4 linked regions of the Elephas maximus indicus genome follow. The protein of the gene in region 4 interacts with the protein of the main gene of each other region in a biochemical or structural test. Links are inferred from orthologs where the notes say so. Each region holds a gene or a part of one and is shown on either strand. Other genes may lie near its edges.

Evidence for each region.
Region 1: of the proteins of PARP1 (region 4) and CASP7, one has a biochemical effect on the other in vitro, tested with the Homo sapiens proteins (3 studies listed by BioGRID). The link is inferred for Elephas maximus indicus from reciprocal best matches to the Homo sapiens genes PARP1 and CASP7.
Region 2: of the proteins of PARP1 (region 4) and PIAS4, one has a biochemical effect on the other in vitro, tested with the Homo sapiens proteins (3 studies listed by BioGRID and IntAct, with this or other methods). The link is inferred for Elephas maximus indicus from reciprocal best matches to the Homo sapiens genes PARP1 and PIAS4.
Region 3: of the proteins of PARP1 (region 4) and H1-5, one has a biochemical effect on the other in vitro, tested with the Homo sapiens proteins (2 studies listed by BioGRID). The link is inferred for Elephas maximus indicus from reciprocal best matches to the Homo sapiens genes PARP1 and H1-5.

What each region holds. Positions count from the first base shown.
Region 1 is NC_064834.1:64,640,145-64,648,465, reverse strand, and holds the start of CASP7 (caspase-7), read right to left. Parts: upstream 3,191-8,321; 5' UTR 2,868-3,190; coding exon 2,865-2,867; intron 1-2,864. UniProt on the Homo sapiens protein: Thiol protease involved in different programmed cell death processes, such as apoptosis, pyroptosis or granzyme-mediated programmed cell death, by proteolytically cleaving target proteins.
Region 2 is NC_064821.1:7,059,054-7,067,451, forward strand, and holds the start of PIAS4 (E3 SUMO-protein ligase PIAS4), read left to right. Parts: upstream 1-5,310; 5' UTR 5,311-5,422; coding exon 5,423-5,449; intron 5,450-8,398.
Region 3 is NC_064819.1:78,899,216-78,905,690, forward strand, and holds H1-5 (histone H1.5), read right to left. Parts: upstream 1,378-6,475; 5' UTR 1,334-1,377; coding exon 656-1,333; 3' UTR 623-655; downstream 1-622. Other genes in the region: histone H2A type 1-D, read left to right, coding at 1-37. UniProt on the Homo sapiens protein: Histone H1 protein binds to linker DNA between nucleosomes forming the macromolecular structure known as the chromatin fiber. Histones H1 are necessary for the condensation of nucleosome chains into higher-order structured fibers.
Region 4 is NC_064842.1:16,084,754-16,092,304, forward strand, and holds the start of PARP1 (poly [ADP-ribose] polymerase 1), read right to left. Parts: upstream 3,424-7,551; 5' UTR 3,214-3,423; coding exon 3,094-3,213; intron 1-3,093. UniProt on the Homo sapiens protein: Poly-ADP-ribosyltransferase that mediates poly-ADP-ribosylation of proteins and plays a key role in DNA repair.

The sequences.
Region 1 (8,321 bases), on a different chromosome or scaffold from region 4:
TCATCCTCATGGCACAGCAAGAAACTCCAGGCCTATCTCAGTCTGCCACACCACCCGGAAACAGCTTGCTGGCACCATTTCCTTGTATTTGTCCCCTTCTGGAGGCCCACGGTGCAAAGAGCAGTCATCCAAGGGATACTCCTTACTGGATTGTTAAACATGTCTACCTTCTCTTTAAAAGTCAATACGATAGACAAAGCACTAACAGTGACACTCTGTTAGTCATTCCTATTACTATTAATGCTAACGTCAGCTAGAACTCTTGACTACTGGCAGACTAAGAGTGTATCTTAATCATCTTTCTTTTATCAGTGTCTTAGTTATCTAGTGCTGCTGTAACAGAAATACCACAAGTGGATGGCTTTAAGAAAGAGAAATTTATTCCTCACAGTCTAGTAGGCTACAAGGCCAAATTGAGGGCATCACCTCCAGGGGCAGGCTTTCTCTGTCGGCTCTGGAGGAAGGTCCCTGTCATCAATCTTCCCTGGTCGAGGAGCTTCTCAGCACAGGGGCGCCGGGTCCAAAGAATGCACTTTGCTCCTAGCTCTGGCTTCTTGGTGGTATGAAGTCCCCATGTCTCTCTGCTCGCTCCTCTCTATTCTATCTCAAAAGAGACTGGTTTAAGATACAATCTAATCTCGTAGATGGAGTCCTGCCTCATTAAAATAACTGCCGCTAATCCCATCTCATCAACATTGTAGGGATAGGATTTACCCCACATAGGAAAATCACATCAGATGACAAAATGGTGGACAATCACACAATACTGGGAATCATGGCCTAGTCAAATTGATATTTTTGGGGGACACAGTTCAATCCATGACAATCAGGCACAGAAAAGTGCCCCACACACGGCAGGCACTCAAGAAATATTTCTTTATGAATGTTATAACTGAAATGCATTTTTAAATCCTTTAGTGCCAGAATAAACTGCTGACACAGGACAGACAACGGAACCAAAGGGACCCAGGAGGACAGTTGAGAGTCCAGGCACGGCAATCAGCTGATCTGGGGTCAAATCAGCTCCTCCACACTCCGCCATGAAACCTCAAAGTACTCAACGTCTCTGAGTCTCAGTCTCCTTATCCGGAAAATGGGCAAACCCTGGCACCTAAGTCACAGGTGGCTGTGAACACTGTGACACGTTCTGAATGTTCAATAAGTAGCCCTATTATCATCACTGTCCACAGAACTCAAGACTAAGGAGACATTGGACCATCTACTTGCACTGGTATTTTAAAACCACGTCCATGCTTTAAACAGCTTTTGTGAAGACAGAAACAAAATTCCTCTAGTGACTCTTTCAAAACACACTTAATTACTGCCCCCATATTAGGGCAACTGGTACATATCTGGGTAAGAAATCACTTCCCAGCATTGTCTGAACTTGGATTTTTTTTTTTCATGAGGGAGAAAATGGACTCATTGCAGCTGTTTCTCCTGAAAAGCAACATGATGCAATTTGTGCTGCACTTCTTGACCAAATAAAGGCAATCTTTCTACAGGGCTCAAAGAGAAGCAGCCCTGGTGACCTTCACCTGTCACCTCTGCACCTGGGGGCAGCTCTCCTGGGCATTCAAGTGCTCCACTGTATCACCTGCTCCCCACAACACTGCCAGGAGACTTGAACCTTGCCCTCTGTTTTGCTGAGGTAACCTAGGTTTCTTCAGAGAGGCTAAGTAACCTGCCCAACACCACACAGTAAAGAGGTGCAGAAGATGGGTTCTGAATCCAGGTGTTGGAACCTGGGTTGTGATACTGAGGACGAAGGTCAGGCTGGTTGCCTAGAAGATCCTAAAGGAGGAAATAGCCCTTAAGTAAACATCACCCAGTCCAAGTGTTTCCGAGAAAAGGGTGGCGCATGACTCATCCACAGTCATGCGCAAGCAACTTGAAAACAAAACCGAAACCGAAGCCCGTTGCCATCAAGTGGATTCTGACAGACCGTATAGGCCAGAAGAGAACTACCCCACAGGTTTCCAAAGAGCGTTGGATTTGCACTGCTGACCTTTTGATTAGCAGCCCCGTGGTTAACCACTGTGCCACCATGGCTCTTGCAAGCAACTTTACTGCCCCATAAACCACAAAGCTGGGTACACTGGTGAAGGGTTGCAAGGTCGCCTGTAGCCTGGGAGTCCACAGGCCTTTTTCACCTCCTCGAGACCACTCCATGAGCCCCTGCAGCAAGGCTAGTCCGACAATGAGGGTACTAGCTTACAGGTATTGAGCCTGGACTGAGGCTCTTTTGTGCACCATCACCTCCATCCATGCCTGCAGCCACCCTCAGCCCGGGATCCCATCATTCCCATTTAACAGGCAGGCACAGACAAGGTCAAGGTCCTACAGCCGGCAAGCAGAAGTGAGGGGACTGGTTCCACCAGGCCTCTCTGACCTGGAGTCCTTGGTGTTAACTGCGGTGCCAGACATCGCACCCCTCCTTTCTAGCAGCGCAGTGGTTAAGAGCGCGGCTGCAAACTAAAGGGTCCGGCAGTTCGAATCCACCAGCCGCACCTTGGAAACCTAGGGTCGCTATGATTCGCAATCGACTCGACCGCAAAAGATTTTGCGGCCGGGGGGCAGAAGCGGGGAGGCGGGATTCTAGCAAAATCCGTATAGTATGGGGTGTCCTAAGCCCCCTGGCAAGGAGGGAAGGGAGGACAAGCTGAGCAAAGCAAGCGGGGCTAGGGGCGGGGTAAACCGTTCCCCCAAAGTTTCAACGCCTGTCGTCCGGGCCGCCCTCCCCGCTCCTACCACCACACCACCCCGCTCCTAGCTGTCTCCAAACTGCGCTCGCAACGGCGGAAACCACGCATGAAACGAGCGAGGGAGAGGGAGAGGGCAGGCGGAGGGGAGGCCGCAGTTACCATTCCCAAGGCCGTCGGGCAGCCAGAGCTAGCCGCTCCGTCGGTCACTCCGGTGCGGGGGTCTGAGGGGCCGCTGTAGCGAAAGCGAAAGTAAAAGCCCGCGTGCTTCAGGGGGAGGAGCCGCCGGGGCAGGGCGCGGAGCCGAGCGAGACTGCGGGTACCGCCCCTGATTCGGGACCCGGCGCTCCCCAAAATTGACGGCGCGCAAGATGACCTGTGTCACTGTCGAGGGGAGCGCGCACCGCCGGGGAGAGCGCGCACCATCCCCGAAGAGGGCACTCTTCGCACCCGAGAGCGTGCCTCACGAAGTCTGCGGAGTTAAATCCCGCCGTTGCGCGCACAGTTCCGGGAAGCGCTTATTCTGCAAAAGTGCCGCTTTTACAGTGACCCAGGGGAGCGCTCCCTGAAGACTCAGCGGCGCGCAAAGTGATCCGGTCGCGATGACCACCCACCCTCGGTCCCCAACGCCGCCCCCGCGGCTGCCCCTAGAGTAGGACCTCGATCTTGGCCTTCGCATCACCGCGGATACCGAGTTCCCAGAGCCAGAGGGCTCGTCCCCAGCCTGACCCTTGACCCCAGTCTGTGCTGCTCCTGTCCCTCGGGCCGCTCCGGACCTATATCTATAACAGTTACCTTCGCCCCCTCCGGCCAGCCGTGGGATCTGCTGAGGTCTTCCCGGCTCCCAGACGTTGCTTCCACTTGGAAATTTGCCCTCGTGGGCGCGAGGATGCCAGCTTAGCCTTCTCAGGTTCCAACCTTGCCACACAGCCAGTTTTGGGCGAAGCAGCTTCAGAATCTTTCAGGAAATATTTTTTGAGCGCCCCCATGCGTCAGGCACTGAGCGTGTGGCCGGGAATAAATCAAGGATAGGAGAGAGTTCGTACCCAGTGGTTCTACCTCACCCTTACCGCCTCTACCAGCCTCTCCTCCAGTCTGTCTTCACCCCTCGGCTTCCAACACCTTTCTCTCAAGACCCCTCAGGAGAGCAACTAATTAACCCAGGCACACTGACGTTGTAAATATCTGTAAAGAAATTATGGTTTTATTCATACCAAAGATATTCGCTTTAAAAAAGAACTCTCGAAGCCTTGAGACAAAGGCATGAAACCTTTATGATATGATGTCAGATAAGAACTGTATCTTTTTGTTTGCTTGCTTGCTTTTCCCTGGGCCTAAGACTTCACTGTTGTCTCTAAAATCTCACCACGTAAAGGGCATTTTCTTGATTTGAAGAAAGACTGGGCTTGGACAAGCGTAAGGGGATAACTTATTATGATTGATTAACTTACGTAAAAATCCTGAATTCCTGAACATTTGTAACCGGCAGCTACACTAGTTACAATTATGGTTGCACTGTTGTTGCTGGGTGCCATCCAGTTGCCTCCGACTCGTAGCGACCCTATGTACGACAGAACAAAACGCTGCCCAGTCCTGTGCCATCCTCACAATCATGTTTGAGCCCATGGTTGAAGCTACTGTGTCAGTCAACCTTGTTGAAGGTCTACCTCTTTTTCCTTGACTGTCTACTAAGCATGATGTCCTTCTCCAGGGACTGGTCTCTCCTGATAACATATCCAAAGCATGTGAGACAAGCCTCATAGTCCTTGCTTCTAGGGAGCATTCTGGCTGTACTTCTTCCAAGACATATTTGTTCGTTCTTCTGGCAGTCCATGGTATATTCAGTATTCTTCCGCAACACTGTAATTCAAATGCATCAATTATTCTTCACTCTTCCTTATTCATTGTACAGCTTTTGCATGCTTATGAGGTGGTTGAAAACACCATGGCTTGGGTTAGGTGCACCTTAGTGCTCATAGTGACATCTTTGCTTTTTAACACTTTAAAGGGGTCTTTTGCAGCAGATTTACCCGATGTAATACGTCATTTGATTTCTTGACCGCTGCTTCCATTGGCATTGACTATGGTTCCAAGTAAAATGAAATCCTTAACAACTTCAGTATTTTCTCCTTTTATCATGATGTTGCTTATTGATCCAGTCGGGAGGATTTTTCTTTCTGTAGAGGTGTTTTTTTTTTTTTTTTTTTTTTTGAGGTGTAATCCATACTGAAGGCTGTAGTCTTTGACCTTCATCAGTAAGTGCTTCAAGTCCTCTTCACTTCCAGCAGGCAAGGGTGTGTCATCTGCATATTGCAGGTTGGTAATGAGTGTTTCTCCAATGTTGATGCCCCATTCTTTTACATAATAGTCCCAGCTTCTTGGATTATTTGCTCAGCATACAGATTTAATAAGTATGGTGAAAAGATACAACCCTTACGCACAGCTTTCCTGATTTTAAACTACACGGTATTCCCTTGTTCTGTTTGAAGAACTGTCTGTTGGTCTGTGTACACAAATGAGCACAATTGTTATGGACTCCTCATTCTTCACAGTGGTATCCATAATTTGTTATGATCCACACAGTCAAATGCCTTTGCACTAGTAAAACACAGGTAAACATCTTTCTGGTGTTTTCTGTTTTCAGCCAAGATCCCTCTGATAATCAGCAATGATATCCCTCATTCCATGGCCCTTCTGAGCTTGACTTGAATTTCTGTCAGTTCCCTGTGGCTACATGGCTGCAACTGCTTTTGAATTATCTTCAGCAAAATTTTACTTGCCTGTGATATTAATGATATTGTTTGATAATTTCCGCATTCTGTTGGATCACCTTTCTTTGAAATAGGCACAAGTATGGATCTCTTCCAGTCAGTTGGCCAGGTAGCTGTCTCCCAAATTTGTTGGCATAGATGAGCGAGACCCTTCAGCACTGCATCTGTTTGTTGAAACATCTCAGTTGATATTCTGTCAATTCCTGGAGCCATGTTTTTTGGCAATGTCTTCAGTGCAGCTTCCTTCAGTACCAAAGGTTCTTGATCATATGCTCCCTCCTGAAATGGCTGAGTGTCAACTGCTTCTTTTTGGTACAATGAGTCCGTGTATCCCTTCCATCTGCTTCTGATGCTTCCTGCATTGTTCAATTTTTTGGCCATAGACTCCTTCAGTATGGCAACGCGAGGCTTGAATTTTTTTTTCAGTTCTTTCAGCTTGAGAAATGCTGAGCATGTTCTTCCCTTTTGGCTTTCTGACTCCAGGTCTTTGAGTGTGTCATTATAATACTTTACTTTGTCTTCTTGAGCCACCCTTTGAAATCTTCTATTCACCTCTTTTGCTTCATCGTTTCTTCCATTCACTTTAACTACTCTGTGTTCAAGAGCAAGTTTCAGAGTCTCTTCTGACATCCATTTTGGTCTTTTCTTTCTTTCCCGCCTTTTTAATGACCTTTTGCTTCCTTTGTGTGTGCTATTCTTGATGTTACTAGTGTTCAATGCATCAGATCTATTCTTGAGATGGTTTCAAATTCAGGTGGGATATGCTCAGGGTTGTACTTTGGCTCTTGTGGACTTGTTCTAATTTTCTTCAGCTTCAACTTGAACTTGCATATGAGGAATTAATGGTCTGTTCCGCAGTTGGCCCCTGGCCTCGTTCTGATTGATGATACGGAGTTTTTTCATCGTCTCTTTCCACAAATGTAGTCAATTTGATTCCTGTGTATTCCATCCAGTGAGGTCCATGTGTACAGTCACTATTTAATGTGGTAGAATGGCAGCATTACTGTTTAATACCGTATTCCTGAAAAATGCTCTTGAAAAGACACTGAGTAAATTTTTTAAAAGAAATTCGGTTGTGAATCATTTGAGAAATAAAGAATCCTGTTAGTAAAGCAAATAAATTGCTCTCTAGTTTATCTAATTTGTAAATCTAAGTTTTGCGGGTTATTCCTGATGAGTGGAATTGACTTGATGGCAACAGGTTTTATAGTGAAACACACTGTTAGAGCTAGAAGTGGTCTTAGCAACTAATCTCTCCATTCACTTGATAGATAAAGAAACTGAGGCTCAGAGAAGTTGTCTGCATCCCCAACTTGCTAGTGTCAGAATCAGGTTACCTAGAAAAATGATGAACTTACCATTTGCAAGAAGACTGTACAATAAATTATATCATGGGAGTGTTAAAATATGTTAGCACACAGGAATTCATTGCTGGCCCAAATGGAAAGGTGGTTGGAAGGGAAACTTTCTTTTCTCAGTTCTTTATTGTGGGCTGGAGTGGGGAACTCCAAAATTGTTGCTCTGAGTCAGGATTATCCCCATATCATGTAAAATCATGGAAATACAGAAGGAAATAAACAATTTTAAACTTTGCCCTCAATAGTAATTGTACTGACTCTTTGGATCTAAATGTTATTCTCTTCTAAGTGTATCTCCTGTGTCTCCATAGCCTTGGACCATGTCATTATTTTATGTTTGCCTTTGATATTCACATGACTATAACATCAGCCTTCCCCCCCATTTCAGAAAAATCCCCCCAAGTCCCCACTATTTGGATGGATTCCTAAGGGTTGACCTGGGAGTTGGGGCAGGCGGGAGCTCCTGGGCCAATCCCTCTAGACCTTTCCTCCACCTCTGTCCTCTGGTCGCCAGGCTGCTGTAGCTAACTCTGTTTAGTCAGCCCCGAACCCTTGATCTGCTGGTCACAGCACCCCCAAATGGTGTCACCAGTGGTTACTCCTCCAATTCTTCACAGGACAACTCAGCCCAGGCTATGGCTCCACAGAAGGATATCCCAGGATTAACAGAAATGCCACTCTTAATGACTTCAGGCCCAAACTCAAATTCTGGCTACTGCTGAGTCAGTGAGGCAGATTGGGTAGGAAAACTCAAGCCCCACCAATGAGGCATCTTCCTCAGTCAAGGTCCAGGCAGAATCCTCTCTCCTGGAATGAGGAATTCCTTTGTACCTGTTATTGATTGCCTCTCAGCTCCAAATTCACCCTTTTTGCCTGTGCTGTGAAAATAAGACTGCACCCGTAAGTATTTTACTTTTGCCAACTTGAAAGCAAACCTGTTGCTGTCAAGTTGATTCCAACTCATAGCTACCCTATAGGACAGGATAGAACTGCCCCTTAGGGTTTCCAAGGCTGTAACCTTTATGGAAACAGACTGCCACACCGTTCTTCCACAGAGTGGCTGGTGGATTTGAACTGCTGACCTTTCAGTTAGCAGCTGAGTGCTTAAACGCTATGCCACCTGGGCTCCTTTTCTTTTGCCAGTAGAGGGCACTGGAGAGACTGTGAAATGAAGGGATTTTGTTTCCTGGTTCTGGTGTGTTCCTGTAGCCCCAAATTCCTGCAGCACGATGGCTTCCCAGTGCCCAGTTCCTGCTGTGCCCAGTGGCCAGTAACTTCTTCTGGCACCCCCTTCACCTGGCAGCAGTGAGACAACTCCCCATGAACAGCTTCTCTTTGGCACACTAGAGGAAAGTTTCCAGAAAGTTCTAAAGGGAAGATTTCTAGAATGTTCTACGGGCACTGCACCATAGTAATTTCTCTGCTATGCCCAGGAGTTCTCAGACCTGGGGCAGAGGGGGAGCAGGGGAGGGGAGAATCTTCCTTGAGTC
Region 2 (8,398 bases), on a different chromosome or scaffold from region 4:
AGACTAATACATCTCTACAATTTTGTCATTTCAAGAATGTGATACAAATGACATCATATGGTATGTGACCTTTGAGATTGGCTTTTTTTTTTCTCCTCCCTTCTCAGCATAACACCCTCCAGATGATCTTGTCCTTTTTAAATGAGTGGCAAATAATATTTAACAATTTTCAGTGCTTTTAACATGCCAGGCACTAGACTACACGTTTTATAAAAAATCAGTTGCGTCCAGTTGACTCCAACTCATGGCGCCCCCATGTGTGTCAGAGTAGAACTGTGCTCCATAGGGTTTTCGGTGGCTGATTTTTTGGAAGGAGATTGCCAGGTCTTTCTTCTGAGGTGCCTCTGGGTGGGCTCGAACTTCTAACTCTTTGGTTAGTGTTAACTGTTGGCTCCACCCACAGTCTTCCATATCTCAGGCAAAAGCAATTGGAAGGGAAAGACTCTAGAAAGGCAGGGAATGTGGAAGGAGAGTTCAGAACTTCTGTTATCAGCTGTTTTGAGTCTGGGGGTGTGAATGGTTAACAGGCTTGGGTGTTCACAGAAAAATTGGAGGTTCCAGTCCACCTGGAGGTGTCTGGGAAGAAAGGCAGGGTAATCTGCTTCTGAAAAAAATCAGCCATTGAAAACCCTATGGAGCACAGTTCTACCCTGACACACAGGGTCACCTTGAGTCAGAGTTAACTCCCGGGCAACTGGTACTGGTTGGTTTTCTGCACCAGGCCCTGTGTTGGCTGCTTGGCAGAGGGGGAGAGGAAAAGGGAGAGAACATTCCAGGCCGAATAAACAGAGGGACGGAAGCCCACAAGGGGAGAAGGAGGCAGCAGAGCGTGAGAAGGTGAGAAAGTCAAAGGGAGTTTGGGTCACAGGAGCTCTGCTACGGGTCGCACCATGTAGGGCAGTGGCCTGCAGGTAGTTCAACCCTTCCCCTAAAGGAGTGGCTTCCAGAAAAGGAACTGAGTCCAAAAGCAAGACGAAGGGTGTGGACAGTGAGTGGTGGGAGGGGAGAGGGTTGGGGGTTGCTGAGAAATATCCTGGGGGTGGGGAGGTGAGAAGGATAGACAAATTTCTTGACTCTTGATTAGATTACAGACAGATTCCTCAACCCTGATTAGATCAGGGGAAACCCTGGTGGCATAGGGTTAAGTGCTACAGCTGTTAACCAAGAGGTTGGCAGTTCGAATCCACCAGGCGCTCCTTGGGAACTCTACCAGGCAGTTCTACTCTGTCCTATAGGGTCGCTATGAGTCAGAATCGACTCAACGGCAGTGGGTTGGGTGGCTTAGATCAGGGCTGTCTCCAACATCTTTAGGGAATCCCCATTTTTGTCTCTTTGAGCCAGAAAATGTGATCTGTGATGGGAACTCTACCAGGCAGTTCTACTCTGTCCTATAGGGTCGCTATGAGTCAGAATCGACTCAACGGCAGTGGGTTGGGTGGCTTAGATCAGGGCTGTCTCCAACATCTTTAGGGAATCCCCATTTTTGTCTCTTTGAGCCAGAAAATGTGATCTGTGATCAAGATTATATGGTGATATAGAAGTTCTTGGGTTAATGCTTTCCACTGCTAACCAAAAGGTTAGAGGTTCGAGTCCACCCAGAGGTACCTCAGAAATAAGGCCTGGCAATCTACTTCTGAAAAACCAGCCACTTAAAACCCTGTGGAGTGCAATTCCACTCTGACACACATGGGGGCGCCACGAGGCAGCGTCTACTCCATGGCAACCGATGTCCTGGGATGGAGACGTAGGAACATATACATTGTGTTTACATTGTTATCTAGTTTACTTGTTACCTGTACTTATTGTGTATTTACATTGTTACCTATTTTAAGGCGCTTTAACACTAAACCTACGAATTTCACAGGTATACTTGGCCTAGACCTGATTCAGTTTACTTCAGTGCAAAAAAGGAAGTCAAGTTTCTACAGCTATGTTGCTAGTCGGCCTCTAAGAGATTCCAACTCTTGGCAAGCCCGAGTGTGCAGAGTAGAACTACTCTACAGGGTTTTCAAGACTGTAACTTTTTGGAAGCAGATCCCCAGGCCTTTCTTCTGAGGCACCTCTGAACAGCTTGAAGCACCAGCCTTTTGGCTACTAGTCACATGCGTAACCATTGTACCACCCAGGGACTCCTTCTATACCTATTAAAAAAACAAACCAGCTACCGTCGAGTGGATTCCAATTCCTGGCAAACCCATGTGAGTTAGAGTAGAACCATGCTCCGTAAAGTTTCCAATGGCTGGTTTTTTGGTAGTAGCTTGCCAGGCCTTTCTTCCAAGGTGCCTCTGGGTGAGTTCCAAGAGGTAACCTTTAGGTTAGCAGCTGAGCGGTTAACCATTTGACCACCCAGGGACTCCTCTGTACTTACACCTATATGTATATCACCTAACAGTTCAGGTGATTTGTGATCTTGGCTAAATTGGGAAGGATATGACTAGACTTGATGAATTCTGATTTAAAGCTGGCTGTATAATGGTCTTGTGGGGATTTAACATTTCCTCTCTATTTTTTCTGTCCTTAGTTGCTGTCAAGCCCACTCTGACTCATGGTGACCCAATGTGTGTCAGGGTAAAACTGCTTCCTAGGTGGTATGGATTGTCCCTCTAAAATATGGAAACCTTGGTGGTGTAGCGGTTAAGTGCTATGGCTGCTAACCAAAAGGTTGGCAGTTTGAATCTGCCAGGAGCTCCTTGGAAACTCCACGGGGCAGTTCTACTCTGTCCTATAGGGTCCCTATGAGTCAAAATCAACTCCAGTAGTAGGTTTTGATTTTTTGGAAGCCTTCAATCATGATTCCATTTGGGAATGGTCGTTTTTGTTATATTAATGAGGCAGGATTAGCATAGGGTGTACCTTGAGTCAATCTCTTTTAAGATATGTTGTTGGTAGGTGCTCTGAGTTCCATTCCAACTCATAGTGGCCCTCCTTACAACAGAATGAAATATTGCCCAGTCCTGGACTATCCTCGCTATTGTTGCTATGCTTGAGCCCATCCTTGCAGCCACTCGTCAATCTATCTCATTGAGGGTCTTCCTCTCTTTCATTGACCCTCTACTTTACCAAGCATGATGTCCTTCTCCAGGGACTGGTCCCTCCTGATAACATGTCCTAAGTACGTGAGATGTAGCCTCGCCATCCTCTCTTCTAAGAAACATTCTGGCTGTAACTTCCAAGACAGATTTGTTCCTTCTTCTGGTAGTTCATGGTATATCCAATGTTCTTTGCTAACACCATAATTCAAAGGCATCAATTCTTCTGTCTTCCTTATTTATTGTCCAGCTTTCATATGCATATGAGGTGATTGAAAATACCATGGCTTGGGTCAGGCACACCTTAGTCCTCAAAGAGATGCCTTTACTTTTTAACACTCTAAAGAGGTCTTTTGCAGCAGATTTGCCCAAGGCCAATACGTATGTCCTTTGATTTTGGGGTGCTAGCTCTCGTGGGTGTGGTGTGTGTGTGTGTGTGTGTGTGTTTAGCTCTCGTTAGGAAACCCTGGTGGCATAGCGGTTAAGAGCTATGGTTGCTAACCAAGAGGTCGGCAGTTTGAATCCACCAGGCGCTCCTTGGAAACTCTATGGGGCAGTTCTACTCTGTTCTATAGGGCTGGTATGAGTAGAAATCAAGTCAAAGGCAACTTTTTTTTTTTTTTTTTTTAAGCTTTCATTAATTGCAATTTGAATTTGTAGGGCAGGACTTTTGCCTGTTTTGTTCACTGCTGTGAACCTCAGGCCAAATCCAGAGTGGATTCTGTCTTTACTTAAAATATTGATATTTTATTTATCATGGAATTTTTCTGCATTTATTTCGATTTTTAAAATTTTTGCATTAACATATTTACCTTGATCACAGGATTGTTTGGTGCCTCCTTAATTTTTCATAAAATTTAACTTTGTTTTTGGTGAAAATATACACAGCAAAACATGCTCCCATTTAATGGTTTCTGTTTGTCACATATTGTTCAGTGACATTGGTAACATTCTTCATATTGTGTCAATATTCTTGTAATTTCTGCTCTAGTTATTTCACCCCCATTAATTTAGGACATAATGCTTGATAAAATAGAGGGTGAGCGAAAAAAAAACCCTCAAGGAGGTGGACTGACACAGTGGCTGGAACAGTGGGCAATGACTGTGAGGATGGCAGTGTTCCATTGTTATATACATGGGGCCGGTATGAGTCGGAAGTGAACCTATGGCACCTAACAATTTAGACTCACTGCCCACTAAGCTCTTCTATGCTTTAGAGTTACTGTTGTCGCTTTGGTCTCATATAGTGTTGTTTTTTTTTATCTCAATAGTTAAGGATGGTATTCTTTTTAAGCTAAACTTTTTTTTTGTTTGTTTGTATAAAGATGACCTCAGGAGATGGTTTTGGTTCAATGTTTGAAGAGTATCTCAAAGCAACAGTATCCGGGGGTTTCTCCAGTCTCAATGGGTCCAGGAAGTCTGGATTCTTTGGGAATTTGAAGTTCCAGTCCACCTTTTCCCCCTTGCTATCAGGATGCATCTAATGTGTCCCAGATAGAAACGTTTGGTAACAGTAGCTGGGCACGGTGCAGTTCTGGTCTCATGTTAGAGGAAGTAGTGGTTCATGGCGCCTCCTTAAATTTTGCGCCTGAGAATTAGCATCTCAGGGGATAGGTCTTGAAATAGAATACATTTATGTCCTCTTTCTTCCCGCTTTGGACACAGGAAAGAATGAGATCCGCTGACTATGGGCACTGGGGAGCCAAGGACAGCGTTTGAGCTCGGGAGGTTCAGGTCAGTGCAGAGCCGGAATTCCGAAGGGGTGGGTGGGGGAGACAAAACGTGGGGGGAGGCGCCTGCAGAAGGACGCGGGCTGCACGAGGGGCGGCGTGTGTGGGCGGGGGTCCAGCGTTTCTCAGGCTGGCCGGGCTGGGGGGCTGCAGAGCCCGCCCCCCGGCCAAGGACCCGGATGTGCGGCGCTTGGGGCGCCAGGTCTGCACCGCGCTGAGTGCACTGGCGTCCGCTTCAGTGGAGCGACCGTCCCCTCCCCCCACGCCGCCAGGCGTCCGGGCACCTACCTGGCGGGCGCCCGGCGCAGGGAGCCGCGGCACCTGGCTGCACTGTTGTCTGCGCCGCCCCACGCTCCCTCCCTCCCCAGATGGGCCCAACCTTCCGCCCCCACCTGCGCTGGACTCTGTCCCTTTAAGAAGCGAGACCCTGCCGCGGGTGGGCGTGGTCACCGCGGGCGAAGGAGGGGCGGCTTTGGGCCGCCCTGATTGGCTCGAGGCCCGGGCGCGGCCGCGCGCGCAAGCGCAGCGCGCAGGAGCGCGAGCCGCGGGGGAGGAAGCCGCGCGGGCGCTTATTGGCCCCGGCGGCGGCCCCGCCCGCGAGTGGCGGGCGGTCACGTGACGCGACGGCTGGGGGTCCCGGCGCTGGGGACGCTGGTGGCCAAGATGGCGGCGGAGCTGGTGGAGGCCAAAGTGAGTGAGCGGCGGCGGCGCCGGCCCGGGCGGGCGGGCGAGGGGGCGGGGCGCGGCCGGGCGGCGAGCCGGGGCCTGCGCCTTCCGCCCGGGGCCCTACAGCGCGGCCCGACGCCCGGGGTCCCCGCGTCGGCCCCGGTCCGGGTCCGGGGCTCGGGGTGCGGGCGGGGGCGGGGAGGCTGGGGGCGGGGTCCCAACACCTCACCCCCATCATGCCGCCCGGAATCGGGGATCCCCCAACCCGCTGCGAGGTGCCGCGATCCGGGGCTCCGTAAATACAGGAATAGGGCCGCTCCTCCCAGCTTGAGGCAGGGTCCACCCCGGACAGCGTGATGGCTTGGGGTTCTCGTCCCCTCCTCGTCCCAGCGGGGTCCGTGCTCTTGGGCCGGGAGGAGTGTCTGCGTCTCCCTTGCGCCCCCTCCCCATGCCATAGAGGGCTAGGATCTGGGGTTTATCCCTCGCGCAGTGAACCAGCTTAGAAGGGTCCCCTGACTGCAGCCGTGTGCTGCCACCGCCACCAGCCCAGGCTGCGGGACCAGGGTCCTAGATCACCACTAATACTGAGTCCGCTGGCGGGCTGTGCCCCAGGCTTGGTTTCGGGGGCCCCGCTGGGGCTCCTGCCTGAGTCCCGGAGCCCCGCCCCCTGGGGCTGAGCCATTCCCTGTTGTGGGTCAGAGGTCTCAAATCCTTCATCAGCCTCACGCCGTGGGTACTGCTTTCTCCTTCTTATTCCCCTCAGGACAGCATCGGGAGTGACTGACCCCGTTTCTAGGGGTTCTAAACCCCACGCTCATGCCATCAGATGCCACTTCCAAATCTTGGGTGTTTTTCCTGTGCTCTGTAGTAGCAGCAAACTTCTTGGCCTAGGATATCTTCCACCTCACCCAGCCCCAGGACTGGTCCTTTAAGTGGTTCCGATGTGGCTTGAGTCCCTCTTTTTTCCATATATTGGTCCTTGGAAGGTCCCCAGCTGGTTCCAGGAGAGGTAGGTCCCTGGGCTTCTTCCCGACACCCTGGATCAAGGATCCAGGCTCTGCACCCTCGGAGATGGTGGTCCCCTCTAGCAGCTTGGGGTCCCTTCTGACCATCCTGGGATAAAGCTGAGAGCATCCCTACCCAGGAATCTGCTTTCTTCCAGATCCTCCCAGAGGCGAGTTCCCAAAATGTTTGCCTTGATTCAGAAGTGACATAGGATAGAGGAGCCCAGAACTTCTCTTAGGACCTCATCACAGCCCTGCCCCGCCCCTCCTGGGGTGCCCTCCCCAAGGCTCCAACCTGCAAATGCATGCTTTTTTCTGCCCCTCCCTCTCTGCTTCTGCCTCCGTTTCTGCTGGGATCTGAACACAGCTCTCCTGGTTCTGGGATCATAGTGTGTATCTCCCCCCCAGACCCCCGCAGTCCACAGTCCCCACACCCCACATGCTTCTGCACTTCCGGGGCGATGGAGAAATCGCCACTTTGCCCTGGAGATGTGACAGCAATCACCCCACTTAAAGTCCCCCCAGAGCCCTGAAATCTAAAACTTCTCATGGGGCCATGGAGCTGTGACCCCAGACCCCTCCACAGCCAGAGGGTAGGGGCTGTCCTTTCTTATACTGTCCTGGACCTTGAAATGTGATCTCATGAACTCTGCTTGACCCATTGGCGGCTGGGGCCCCCTAACCCCAATTAAATCAAGTTGACCCTTCTTTCAAGTCCTGTAAAACGTGAGCCTCCCTTTGGGGAACTTGGCTCCAGCAAAGCTTCCCTGATCCTGGGCACCTTCTCTATCCTTTAGTCTTTTGTCGTGGTCCGGTCCCCGCGCCGCCCCCCCCCCCCCCCCGCCAGCTTAGAGTGCCTTAGATGCAGTGGAAATGCCCTCTGTTTTTCTTTATCTCTGGGACTCCCGAGAGGCTGCTCCCCTCTCTCCCCAGACCCTCCTATTTTCGAGCTGGATATTTGCTTTTGGGTGCAAAATAGAAGTGGGGTTTGTCTATAAACTTTGAAATCTGAGACTCTTCACTTGAAAACCACGAGGTGGGTTTGGGGCGGGGGTGGGGGCCATAGCAGCCTTCCACCATCTCCTGCATCTGCGTCTTGCCTTTTTCTGGAGCACAGGCCCACCACCTTTCTCTGATCTTCAGAGGAGCGCACGGCGGAGACAGGGTTCAGCACGGCTACTGGAGCTGGTGTCTCCACGCGGCATCCAAACACGTCCACTGTGTTCTGGAAGCTGTTCGTAGAAACAGTTCTGAGAGGCAGAGGGTTCTGAGAGGCGGGTGGGCCAGGATGAAGCCGCAGCAGGAAGTGCTCTCTGCGGCCTGTGAGGTTCTTTCTGAGCATCCATCCCCCCCGCCCTGCACCCCCATCAGCAACAAGGACAGGCTGCTCAGTGGTGGCAGCTGCTGGGGAATTTGAGGCATGAGCCTATGGAAGCCTGAGGGGTGTGCTGTCAGCTGCCTGTGCCGCCCTGTTCCTGCCTGGCCTGGGCGAAGGGTGCCTGGGGGCTCTCAGGGGTGGACTGATGCCGCTCATCGGTGTGGTCACGCTCACACACTGCTTATGGCTTAGTAGTGGGTGTCAAGTTGCCGCATGGTATCACCTCTCCCCTTTCAGGCCTTGGGGGTCTTCCAGAAGAAACATCTGCGTGTCTTTTTTTTCACTGAAGTTAGGAAGCTTCTGGACTCATTGAGGGCCAGCAGGCTGCTCAGGTCCCTGGGCAGGGGGTGTCCTGGTGAGGAGGGATCTCACAACACCCAGGCAGGTGGGCAAAAGCGGAAGGAAGATGGCCTCAGGAGCCAAAGGCTGCTGGCTCTGCCACTTATAAGCAGGGTGGCCTTGGGCCAGCCACTTCCCCTCTTTGAGCCTCAGTTTCCTTACTTGTGTAGCAGGTGAAGTTGTTACGGGATTTGCAATGTTAAAAGCTCCTACCTGGTGCCTGGCACATGTGAGGCACCGTACGTCTGCAGT
Region 3 (6,475 bases), on a different chromosome or scaffold from region 4:
GAAGACTGAGAGCCACCACAAGGCCAAGGGCAAATAAGGTCCCAAATAGCAGTGTCCAAACAAAAGGCTCTTTTCAGAGCCACCCACTATTTCTGTGGAAGAGTTGGGTCACTTAAGAAACCCAAACCCATTGCCGTCGAGTCGATTCCGGCTCAATAGCGACCCTAAACCTATAGTCAGTATTTGCCAGTAAAAGCACAACATTTACGGTCACTTATCTTAGGTCCGGTAGGTGTCAGTAAGATTTTCCAGTAGATGTGTCACCCTTTTTAAAATCAAAAGTGTAAAAAATATTAACTCCCCCCAACAGGTTTTTTAGATGTGGTGTACTGGGGGGCACGTAGCACATTCTTGCATAAAATTTTCCGCCGAAGAGACAATGTGGCAGTTATTGGCCAATCGGAGAATGGCGCGGGCTTTTTAAATAAGCTTCCTTCAAGTAACGTTTTAAAGATGGATGAGATGCATGCATACAGTAAAAATGCTCAGATTTAAAAGTGGGGAAAACCTCAACACTGTTCAACCTAATGTATGAGTGAAAATGGGATAACGAAAGACCGAAATACTTAGGATAGTGTACAGCTATTTTGTCAGAGATATTTGGGTGGCTCTGAAAAGAGCCTTTGGGGTTTAGACTTTTCACCAGGCCAACTACCTACTTCTTCTTAGGAGTCGCCTTCTTAGCCTTTGCAGCTTTGGGCTTAGCTGCCTTAGGCTTGGCGGCTTTGGGTTTGGCTGCTTTAGGCTTCACTGCCTTTGGCTTTGCAGAACTCTTGGCAGCCTTTTTCGGCTTGGCGGCAGGTTTGGCCTTTTTCGGGCTCTTGGCCACTTTCTTAACACCTGCCGCCGCGGGCTTCTTCGCCTTTTTCGGAGTCTTCTTCACGGCTTTCTTGGCTCCAGCTGCCTTCTTGGGCTTCTTAGGAGTGGCCCCCGCGGGCTTCTTGGCTTTGGTGGCGCCAGCCTTCTTGGCCTTGGGCTTTGCTTCCCCGGAGGCTGCCTTTTTGTTGAGCTTGAAGGAGCCCGAGGCGCCAGTGCCCTTGGTCTGCACCAGGGTGCCCTTGCTCACCAGGCTCTTCAAACCCAGTTTGATGCGGCTGTTGTTCTTCTCCACATCGTAGCCGCCAGCGGCTAGCGCTTTTTTAAGCGCGGCCAAGGAGAGACCGTTGCGCTCTTTGGAAGCGGCCACAGCCTTAGTGATCAGCTCGGAGACCGGAGGCCCGGTTGCCTTGCGCTTCGCGGCGCCCCCAGCTGTCTTCTTAGTTGCCTTCTTCTTGGCGGGGGATTTCTCCACTGGTGCCGGGGCGGCAGTCTCAGTGGGAGCCGTTTCCGACATGGCGATAGGAGAAATTGCAGGAGAGGTTTCAAATCCAAAGAGAGCAAGTTTTGCAATGCTGGCTCGTTCAAGCCCCGGGCTTATATAAGGCGGCCCTGGCCTGTGATTGGTGGAGAGTCCAATCCACCGCCCTCGGGCAGACGCCTCTCGGAGTTGGACTCCCAAGTTGTGTTTGTTAGTCGCCAAAATTTGATTAAATGAGAAAAACAACGGTGCAGAATTTGGCTCCTTGAAGCTCTAAAGGAGGAAAAGAGCCTCCAGGTTCACAAACTTATTCGTGTTTTCATGAATCGTGACCAGACGTTGAAAGATATTTTTTAAAAACCCTTTAGCTTTGAGTGTGGATCCACCCGGTTGGGGTCATTGCGATAGTTAGTTGTATGTTGCAGTAGATTTCTACTAAGTATTAAACAAAAGTTTTCTAAAAGGATTTGTTCAGAGGTTCAGCTTTTGATTTATACAGGAGGGAAGACACTAGGTTTCTTGCGTTTGGTATAAACTTTGTTTCTAAGTGTTGTAAGTAACACAGATATAGAGCAACTGGTTTCCTACCGCCCCAGATTAAAAATCTGTTCTGCCTTTTCAGAGTTCCCACGTGCTGATATCTTTAGAGAAAAAGGACTTTGCAGCTTGGAAAAACTCAGTTGCCAGTGTGACTTCTTCCCCGTTGCAGCAAGAGCGGAGATCTCTTGCTTCAGATTCCAAAGCCCAGATTTAAATTCGAATTTGGTATGCTATCTGATCGAGATGCTTTCTCTCGTTCTTGGGCAAATTCAGGAAAATGAGGACCAAAAAATGCTTGCCTCTGATAATTTGCTTTAGAAAAATCTCTCAAACCTGTTGAAAATTATTCGAGGGCTCACAGTATCTTCCAGAATGAAGTGCACGTTTAGATGACAGGATCCTATCAGGCTTTCAATACATTTTTCCTAGTGCTCTTACTAAGCCTCTTATGTTCACCAACACTGAACCAGTTGCATAGTTGCGAAAATCATTTTCTGCAAGACGCCAGGAGACATCAATGTGAACATTTGTGTGTGTTTAAGTTCTGACAGATGCATATTTTAGAAAAATAACAGGCTATTTTGAGAAGGTTAGATTAGGTATGGAGGGGCTGGAGGTTACAGGGGTTCAGAAGAATTCAGGAAAACATTAACTTTGAAGAGAACTGAGGCAATGACTATGAGGTTGGAGAAGTTTGCTATTTATTTAAGGGAAGAAATGAAAAGATTTTATGGCCGCTTGATAAAGGAGATCAAATGATGATTCAAATCTCTGATGCAACCAACAGTCAATTCTTGCCAGTGAAAACCTGGGGTGGAGTGGGGGTGGGGGGGGAGGCTCAAATGGCCAATGCACTTTATCTTCCCTCCGGGAGCACCTGGAATAGTTGGCAAAGTACCACCTGTGGGCCACATCTGGACAGTGCCTGTTTTTATAGCTCTCAAGCTAAGAACAGTTATCTTTCTAAAGGACTGCAAAATGAAAGAAAGGGAAGAAGGAAGAGAGAATATATGACAGAGATCATATGTGACCTGCACAGCTTAAAGTTCTCACCATCTGGTCCTTTTGCTGTGTTGTGGACGCCTCCACATAGACACAGATGATGGTATGCTATTACTACAAGACTCTTTCGAAACAGTGCAAATTGAGAACTAATGAAAGGGAGATCTTAACAAGTAAATGTTCTAACCAAGTAATTTCTATGGTTTTAATCAAAACTTTCAGGGAGGTGCTGTGTTTAAAGTAGGGAGAGGAGATAACAATAAATTAAGCATTTACTAAGTGCCAGAGAACATTCTTAGTATGCTGCACTACAGGTTTTTACTTATCTGTCACATTTCACTGCTGCACATCTGAGGCCTAGAGAGTGGATCGCTAACTTGCCCAGGGTTATAAAGTTAGCAACTATCTGCTCTGGGATTTGAACCTAGATCATCTGGCCTCACACTATTATGCTGGGAAAGTGATGAGGGTGGAGTGGGGACCGAGGGCAAGGCTATTTTTGAAGCTTGGAATAGGCAGTAAATTGATCCCCCCCCCCGCCCCCCGCGGAAACCCTGGTGGTGTAATGGTTAAGTGCTATGGCTGCTAACCAAAGAGTCGGCAGTTCAAATATGCCAGGCGCTCCTTGGAAACTCTACAGGGCAGTTCTACTCTGCTCTATAGGGTTGCTATAGGGTCGCTGAGTCGGAATCGACTCGATGGCAACGGGCTTGGTTTTTGGTACCCCCCTAGCAGACAGATACTAAAGGAGCTCTAGGTTAGAGAATCTGTAGGAAGAGGCTCCTGACCTCCTCCCTCTGAACAGTTTTTGTGAACCAATTCCATAGTTTCTGAAATCTTTAGAAAGAACCAGTGGCTAGGACTACAGCCCCTTTGGAAGAGCAAATTGAGGAAAGGGTGGTAGAGAATGAGATTGCTGATCTGTGCCAAAACAGAAGAAAATTTGCCTTAATATAACTCTTTGCCGCCTTCTGAACTCAAGATATGTACCCAAAAAAGTCAACAGTAAAATGAAGTAGTGATGGTAGTATACAGGTAAAATACTGGATAAGGTTAATAAATGGAGTGCTTGTTAGAAAATCTGAACTCTACGTGCAGAGACCAGGAACTGCTTTCAATTGCCATTTTGGGCTTTTAATTTCCATTGTGCTTCTGTATCTGAAGAAAAAAAAAATCATGAAAACCAACTTCACAGAGGTATAACAAGAGCATTGATAAAGTCTCGGCAAATAATTTTCATATAACTTTAGAGGCAGCTCATTTTAGATAAGTGTTGTCGGTAGTTAAGTCTCCAGGCCTTGCTCCCCAACCCCTACATACAGAAAACTACAGTGTAAGGTCACTTGTTCGGTTCCTTACAATGGCATGCATAGTGATAAAGTACCTTGGGAAAGTTCATCTGCTTTTGCACAATTATACTTGCCGACCCTCAATGTGTTAAGTTGGGGGTTTGCAAAACGCACAGCTATTTTACACCCTAGAATAATCTACCTGCGTAACTATCGGTGTGGCAGGGACTTAAGCAAAAGAAAAGAAAAACTTTTGAGATATCAGTATGTGTTTTAGAAGTTTAACAACTCTTTCTTGGAGAGAATTGAGGGGCTCTGAAAAGAGCCTTTTAGAGAAAAATATTGAGAACTGTTTATGCCCTCTCCCCGCGGATGCGGCGGGCCAGCTGGATGTCCTTGGGCATGATGGTGACACGTTTGGCATGGATGGCACACAGGTTGGTGTCCTCAAACAGCCCCACCAGGTAGGCCTCGCACGCCTCCTGCAGCGCCATGACCGCAGAGCTCTGGAAGCGCAGGTCGGTCTTGAAGTCCTGCGCGATCTCGCGCACCAGCCGCTGGAAAGGCAGCTTGCGGATCAGCAGTTCGGTGGACTTCTGGTAGCGCCTGATCTCGCGCAGCGCCACGGTGCCGGGCCGGTAGCGGTGGGGCTTCTTCACGCCGCCGGTGGCCGGGGCGCTCTTGCGGGCAGCTTTGGTGGCCAGCTGCTTGCGGGGCGCCTTGCCGCCGGTGGACTTGCGGGCTGTCTGCTTGGTTCGGGCCATGAGTAAGGAGTCGTGACTGCTGCACTGGAGAGACTAAGGTATGAGGTGGTCGTGGCATTATTTATAGTGACTCTCGCGTTCTGATTGGACCGTCTACTGTTGCTCCGCCTTAGCCTACGCAAGCGGAATTGGCCCCCAGATTAATCCCCTAATACAAAATGTTTCCCGCTCCCACTTCAGACTAAAAACAAAAAACATCAACCAACCAAACTCTTTGCCGTCGAGTCGATTCCGATTCATGGGGACTCTAGGACAGAGTAGAACTGCCCCATAGGGTTTCCAATGAGCGGCTGGTGGATTCAAACTTCTGATCTTTTGTTTAGAGAGGCGAGCTCTTAAACACTGGGCCACTATTTCAGCCTAGGAAATGTAAAAAAAAAAGTATTTTACTGGTTAAGAGAAAAAAAACTTGTTGGAGTTTGCACTATCTAAATTACAAGAGAATCCTGTTTGCTTGAGTATCTGAATTCTTGGGACAAAGTTTATTGAATAACATTAAAGGAACAACTGAGATTAAGGAAACTGACTCGTAAATGGGGGCTTCTAATGTGGGTCGAAATTCGAGTGTGCTATGTTAGTACTTCTAAAATTTAAAAATCATGCTTTTTAACACAACGATCTACAGTCACTACCTTTGGCTTTGCAAGCCATGCTGTACCGCGAACTGATGTAGTGGCGCGAAAGCAGTCATAGGACAAAGGAGCAATGACACATGCGGCATGCATTTGGCCAACAGCGCTAGTCTACCGACCCAGGATTTTTCATTGACTCGGAGACGTTGGTTACGCTGTTACCGGCGTGCCAAACGGAAGGGGAGTAACTGCTTTAATGCTTACTATCAATTTAAACTACTCTCTTCCTTAGTGTTTGGTTAAACCCCCGAAGGTATATTAAAAACACGATCCAGCTATCATTAAGGAACTTTTGACTTTCAAAGTGTACCCGGCTCCTTAACAGATTTTGTGGGTGGCCCTTAAAAGGGCCTTTGGGGAATAGAACGTAGACAAAATCTCTAGCCTCCGAAGCCGTAGAGGGTGCGCCCCTGGCGTTTGAGCGCGTAGACCACGTCCATGGCAGTGACTGTCTTGCGCTTGGCGTGCTCGGTGTAGGTGACGGCGTCGCGGATCACGTTCTCCAGAAAGACCTTGAGCACCCCGCGGGTCTCCTCGTAGATAAGCCCGGAGATGCGTTTGACACCGCCACGCCGCGCCAGGCGCCGGATAGCAGGCTTGGTAATGCCTTGGATGTTGTCTCTTAGGACCTTGCGATGGCGCTTAGCGCCGCCTTTGCCGAGGCCTTTACCTCCCTTGCCGCGACCAGACATGTTTACGGCTGGACGGAAGACAGTTTGTCAAGCTTTAGAGGTAGCGAGTTATATAGTGGTTAATCGGACCTGTTTGGGAACTCCTTACACCAGCTGTATCACCTCAGTTCTCAGATCCGGAGCCCGGGGGCGGGAAGGTGGGGGGAAGGCGGGGGGCGGTGCTTAAACTCCTACTTTCAAAAAGATGCCGAAGCAAGAATTACTATTGGGTGTATAGAGGTCCAACAGCTCTTCCTACTGTGCTTTGCGCCCGCCCACC
Region 4 (7,551 bases):
AAAGCAATTGTATAACACGCTAACCCGTACTTTAAATGGGCTTAAGTGCTATAAAGCATCGAGTAACAAGATCTAGTACCTGACTTAGTAACTATTGCAATTTTGTAGTTATGATTGTAGATAACTTGAGAAATCAACAACTATAAAGCGATATTAAATATCTGCAATTAACGTTGGTGACAAAATCAAGGGTACTAACAGGCCTTTGCTTTGCTGCTTATGGAGCCCTGGTGGCGCAAAGGCTAAGCGCTCAGCTGCTAACCGAAAGGCCAACAGTTAAATCCACCCAGGCGCTCCTTGGAAACCCTACGGGGCAGTTTTACTCTGTCCTATAGAGTCGTTATGAGTCAGAATTGACTCAACAGCAATGGGTTTGTTTTTCTGACGCTTACATTCGTTATTAGGGGAAATACTAAATTTCATCTAGAGATTAGTAAAAATAGGGATGTAAAAAATTTTCCCACACCAATTCATGGATTTCTTCTGAGTTCCAGCCACCATCCCACAGACCCTAGGTTAAGAATCCCTGCAGAATCCTTGCACTGAGATGGGACTTCATAAGAGCAGGCTCCCCATATACTGAGGGTAAAATTCAAAACCTCCTGCTATCATTGTTAGCTGCCATCACGTTGGCCCCAGCTCACGGTGACCCCAAGTACGATAGAAATACTGCCTGTGGCTGTGCCATCCCCATGATAGGTTGTGAATCTCACAATGTTTCCTTGTAATGAATAGTTTTCACTGGCTAACTGGCTAATTTTCGGAAGTAAATTGCCAGGTCTTTCTTCTTAGTCTTTGTTTGGGAAGCTCTGCTGAAGCCTGTGCACCATGGGTGACTGTGATGGTATCTGAAATACCAGTGGCAAAGCTTCCAGCATTACAGCAACACTCAAGCTACCACAGTATGACAAACTTGACAGACGGGTAGTGGCTGCACACGAGGTACACTGGCTGGTAATAGAACCCAGGTCTCCCTCGTGGGAGGTGAGAATTCTACCACCGATGCACCAATGCCCCATTCAAAGCCCCTTAATGGGAGAAATGGCTCTTCAAATTGCAGGTCCAGGCTACTCCTCTATCCTCATTTTCCTGTGCCCCACTTTTGTACACAATGACTCCTTTTCAAGCTCCCACACTTTGCGCGACCTCTTGGCCTCCTCTCTTGGGCACACAGTTCCATGAGGGGGATACCACCCCTGACCAGCAGTGTGTCTTTATGTTCCTAGCACCTAACACAGTGCCTGGGACTTAACAAGTGCTCAGTAAATGTTTACTGAATAAATACATATGCCAGGTACAGAACTAGGTAGGTCCTGAGGATGCCAAGATAACCACCTCAGTAACTGCCATATTATGAAATGAATAAAGTACACCTGGCACTGGGTACCCACTTCATTAATGTGTACTGTCTCCCACACCTCTACCCCATAAGTCCTGAATATCCAGTGAGGGCTATGTGGTCATTCCTCACACACACTCCTGTCTCGCTGCAAGGGAGGAAAACAGTTAACTGATGCTGAGCACCAAGCTAGGTGAGAGCCAGAATTACATCAGCAAACTGTAAGCTGGAGCAGGCAGGAACCCCCAGCCCTTAGCAGGAGCATTAAGACACACCACCTCACAGTACACTCCAAAACCCCTTAGGGCACTGAGGGGGAACCCCTGACTGGTCAAAAAGCCCAGATGACCAACCCTCCCAGAGCCACTCTACACATAGCAGACAGCTGTAAACGCATTAAGGGAACATCTGTGAACCTGGGATATATTATTTTAAAACATATGTGAGACCCGCAGGGCGTGTACTGGACAGAGACTACACCAACTTGCATAGTTTTGCATAAATTAAGATTCAAAATGAGGGTGAGCAGGCCGCTGACATGAGAGCCAAAAATAGATTTAAAAAAGAAAAAAAATTCTCCCATGTCAGCAGCCAGCATCAATGTAGGACAAAAATCTTCCAGCACAAGGTAGGTCAAAGTTAGGCTAGCTTCCAGTCTGAAAACACTATATACTGTACCATCCTAACCATATGGACATTCTGGAAAAAGTCAAGCCTACAAGCAAAGTGAAAGGGGTTGCCAGGAGTCAGGGAGAGGGATGAATAAATAGGTGGAGCACAAGGCATTTTTAGGGCCGTGAAACTATTCTGTACAATGCTGTAATGGTGGACATATTACGCATTTGTCAACACCGACAGGAGCGTACATACAACACAGAGTAAAACCCTAACGTAAACTACGGGCTTTAGTTAAGTTTATCAACATTGGTTCATCGTCAGTAACACATGTACCACACCACTGCAAGGTGTTAATAACGGGGAGAACACTGTGCAGCGGGGAGGGGATGATACGGAGCTCTCTAGTCGGTTCACTTTTTCCGAAAACCTAAAACTGCTCGAAAAAATAACGTGTTAAAAAAAAAAATCAGCCTAGTTTCGAAAGACCATATCTATTTTCCCCCCTAAGGCGGACAGTAAAAAGAAAAAACAAGAGCTCTTCCGCCCTAAACAAGGGCAGAAGCGACTTTTAAAAATCAAAAGGTACCAGCAGCCCCAGATTTCCCGGGTTTTTGCTGCAAGATCAACAAAACCGTCCGGGAATGTCCCCGGGCGGGCCACGCAGCGCGCGAGGAATGGTGGCAGCAGCGGCGCCCACAGGCCCAGGCCAGCGGCTCGGGCGGCCCCGGGCCCTGCTCGCCCCTCCGGGCCCTGCTCGCCCCTCCGGGCCCTGCTCGCCCCTCTCGGCCCTGCTCGCCCCTCCGGGCCCTGCTCGCCCCTCCGGGCCCTGCTCGCCCCTCCGGGCCCTGCTCGCCCCTCTCGGCCCTGCTCGCCCCTCTCGGCCCTGCTCGCCCCTCTCGGCCCTGCTCGCCCCTCCGGGCCCTGCTCGCCCCTCCCGGCCCTGCTCGCCCCTCCGGGCCAGCTCTCCAGCCTGCACCCTCCCCAACCCGCCCCTTCCACGTCTGAACACTGCGGGGGCGAGTGGGGGGTTCGCGCTCTCAGGGAGGGGCTGCGCCCGCCGCTCGACCCGCTCGGTACAAAGCGGCCCGCGCCGCCGGGGCCGCAACGGACGCCCAGCTCGGGCCTCCGGGCCGCACCTGCACCATGATGGCCATCCGGAGCGAGTCCTTGGGAATGTTCTCCTTGCACTTCTTGCAAGAGGCGCGCCCGCTCTTGGCGTACTCGGCCCGATAGAGCTTGTCCGAGGACTCCGCCATCCTCCTCCTCGTGCCGCTGCAGCTCCTGGAGCCCGACGCCGCCACCTGAAGACACGCTGCCGCCGCCGGCTGCCGCCGCCCCGTCCGCCCCGCGCGTGCCTGCCCGCCCACCGCAGGCGCCCCAGCGCCCAAAGCCGCCGCCCCCGCCGACCACGCCGCGCCGACCACCCGGCGCTCCCCGATAGATTGCTGATGCCTGGCCGCGGGAACGTCCCCGGCGCCTGCGCTTACGGGGCGGGCGGGCAGCACGCGCGCGCCCCCTGCGGGTCGCGGGTGGGCGGTGTCTCCTGTGCGCCCGAAGCGGCGTTTTCTGAGCAGCTGCTGTTTGCCAGAGGGGGATGGTGGTGGGGCTCGAACCGTCTGTGAAGGACCAGTCCCCTTCCTTTTACCCATTTTGTCTTCCAGAGAAGCTTACTTGCTCTTACTACTCTAATTCTACCCTCTAAAAAAAAAAATCTTCTTTTTTCTTGCCCGTTTTATAAGGAGCCCTGGTGGCGCAGTGGTTAAGTGCTTGGCTGCAAACCCAAAGGTTGGCGGTTCCAACTCACCAGCCGCTCTGCGGGAGAAAGACATGGCATTTGGGTTCCATAAAGCCTCGGGTACTCTATGGGGCAGTTCTACCCTGTCCTATAGGGTTGCTATGAGTCAGCAGGGACTCCATGGCAATGGGTAGCCCTTTTTCAAGTGTGTCCTCTTGCCCGCGAAGGGCAAGTCTGTTCTGGAAGATGCTGGGTGGCTCTTGAATATGACTGATCTGTTGTAGGGTGGACCGTGTGGTGGGAGGTCAACCCGAACTGACCCTTGGCGGGTGTTCTAACCTGAAGTCCATAGACCATTGGGACAGAAGACGAACTGAAATTCAGACTCTTGCTCATTATGAATTTAAATCCCAGGAGTATTAGCAATACCAGTATCTGCTGTTGAAGGGAAGGGTTGGGGGAGGATTCAGGGTGGGGTCACAGTGTGATATACAGTGTCACATACTTTCATATCACTTTATGCCAGTTGGAAACCCTGGTGGTGTAGTGGTTAAGAGTTCGGCTGCTAACCAGAAGGTTGGGAGTTTGAATGCACCAGGGGCTCCTTGGAAATCCTGTGGGGCAGCTCTGCTCTGTCCTATAGGGTTGCTAGGAGTTGGAATCAACTTGATGATAATGGGTTTTTACAGTTGTTGGAGATAATTCAAACTACTGTTTAAGTTCATCGGTACTTGCACGAGCGGTAGTTACTAGACCTCCTCATACCAAAACAAACAAACAAACAAACAAACAAAAAAACCCAAACCCGGTACTGCTGAGTTGATTTATCTTGTTATTTAATGCAGAGCTGAATTTTTTTTTTATTGTGGTAAAACATATACAGAACATAAAATTTCCTATCTTAACCATTTTTAAGTGTACACTTCAGTGGCATTAATTATATTCACAATGTCGTGCAACCATCACCACTGTTTCCGAAACTTATTCACCACCTCAAAGAAAAACGTTGTGCCCATTGAGAAAAAGCTCCTCATTCTACCCTCAGTCCACGGTAATTACTAGTCTACTTTCTCTCTTTATGCATTTGCTACTTACATTCCGTAAAAATGACATCATACAATATTTGTCCTTTTATGTCTGGCTTATTTCACTTAGTATAAATGTTTTTTGCAAGGTTCATCCGTGTGGTGGCATGTATCAGAACTTCATTTCTCTTTATGGTTGAGTAATTATTCCACTAAAAAAAAATTTTTTTTTCTTTTTTTTAATTTATGTACCACATATGTTTATTCATCTTGTTGATGAGCATTTGGGTTGAACACAGGAAATAGAGGGCCCCCCAAATCTGCAAGTGAAGTAACAGGAAATGGGCCAGGGCGCAGAAACAAAGCCATTCTCCAGAACAATGGGGCCCAGAATGGGGCAGGGTATCAGAAAATAGCCCACACATTTCTTTAAAGTTGTTTTTCAGAAGCAGCTGGAGAAAACCAGCCCCAGGAACATGCGCAGAACATCTACCTGTGACCTGCTGTGTGACCTTGCACCAGGGGCAGTGAGGGGCTGCAGCAGCAGCCAGGGAATCAAACGCTGGAGCGAGTGACTGCGCGGGCGCAACACCCCATCGTAAGTCCTGCTACAAATCTCAGAGGCCTCCAGGACAGGAGCTATCTTGGAAAGCTGCTGTGCGTGCACTGTAGTTAACTATCTCCGCCTGTGTTAATAAACATGAGTCTTTTACCGCCCAAGAACTTTTAAAAACCCAGCCTGTCTTTTGTTCTGTGAGACGGGGTATGCGTTGCTCTAGGCCATCCTCTTCTCTGCTTGCAAGCGTCTTCTATAAAGCTTTGCTTATGTGGAAAATTCTGCGTGCCTTAGCCTGTTCATTCTTGACCAGTGAGAGGCAAGAACCTTATTCCAGTAACGGGTTGTTTCTACCTTTTGGCCATTGTGAATGGTGCTGCAGTGAACATTGATGTACAAATATCTGTTTGTATCCCTGCTTTCAAGTCTTTTGAGTATATTGCTGGTATGGAATTGCTGTTAATTTTAACAAGGCGCCCTGGTGGTACAGTGGTTAAAGGTTCAGGCTGGTTGGTTCAAACCCACCAGCTCGCTCAGGGGGAGAAAGATGTGGCGGTCTGCTTCCATAAAGATCACAGCCTTGGAAACCGGGTGTGGCAGTTCTACTCTGTCCTGTATGGCCATGGGATGAGTCGAAATCTACTAGAGGGCAATGGGCTTATGGTAATTCTATGTTTAACTTTTTGAGGAACCACCAAACTGTTTTCCAGAGCAGCTCCTGACATTTTACATTCCCACCAGCAATCTCTCTACGTCCTCGACAACACTTATTTCCCATTTTTTTTCTGATAACAGCTATCCTAGTAGGTGTGAAGTGGCATCTCATTGTGGGTTTGATTTGCATTTCCCTTATGATTAATGATGTTGAGCATCTTTTGCATATCTTTTTAAAAGAATTGTCTATTTCAGTCCTTTGCTCATTTTCCATAGGATTATTTGTTGAGTTGTATAAGTTTTTTACATATTCTGGATACTAAACTCTTATCCGATGTATGACTTCCAAATATTTTCTCTCATTCCGTAGCTTGTCTTTTCACTTTTTTGATATGTCCTTTGGTGCACAAAAGTTTTTAATTTTGATGAAGTCTCATTTATATATGTTTCCTTTTGTTGGTCATGCTTTTGGTGTCGTATCTAAGCATTTATTGCCAAATACAAGGTTCTGAAAATTTACCCCTCTTTTTTCTCCTAAGAGTTTTATGGCTTAGCTCTTATATTTGTGTCATTGATCCACTTTTAGTTAATTTTCGTATATGTCATGAGGTAGGGTTTCAACTTCATTCTTCTGTATGTGGAAATACAGTTGTCCCAGTACCATTTGTTGAATGGACTTGGCACTCTGTTGAAAATTCATTAACCATAGACGTATAGGTTTACTTCTGGACTCTCAATTCTATCCCATTGGTCTATATGTCTATTATTATACCAGTACGACATTGTTTTGATTACTGTCGTTTTGTAGCAAGTTTTGAAATCGGAAAGTGTTTAGTCCACTTACTTTATTCTTCTTTTTCAAGTTTTCCTTGGCTTTTTGGGCCCCCTCGCAATTTCATATGGATTTAAGGATCAGCTTTTCCATTTCTGCAAAAAAGGCAGTTGCAATTTTGATAGGGATTGCATTGAATCTGTAGATTGCTTTGGGCAGTGTTGACATCTTAGACTATTAAGTGTATCAACCCATGAACACAGGATGTCTTTCAGTAGAACTGTATTTTCAATATAACTGGTTTCTTTTTTAATACTATATATTTCACTTTATATATTTAAAAACATTATTGTAATGGGAGGGTGCTGGATTTGAAAATATTCACTTCTTATATAGAGGACAAGAAAAACAGAATGAGTGAAACTCATAAAAAGTGTTAAGCACAGAGAGTAAAGAAGCTAGTAGTTTAAGAGATAATGAATGATGAGTAAGCAAGTAGGTTGTGAGATCTAGCCGGAGTCCATATGATGTGTTAAATATAGATAATAAATAAGTTAGTAACCTGTTAGATATATTAAATGTAGATAGAATAAATGGAATGTGTGACAGAATAAATGAAAGTTTAACTTAGAGAGTAGCTAGGTCAAAAGGTGTGATCATTCCATCTCTGGGTTGACAACTAGGCCATCCCTAAGTGGTCCGCCATTGATAATACCATTATGGCCCCATTCTGACTCTACATTTGCTCTGCCCAGGAAATACAGATAAAACCCATGTCTGTTCAGCAGGCTGAACTGTATAAAGATGGCGAGCTACAGCTGCAGTCCAGGCGTAGAGCAAGTGTGTGTAGGT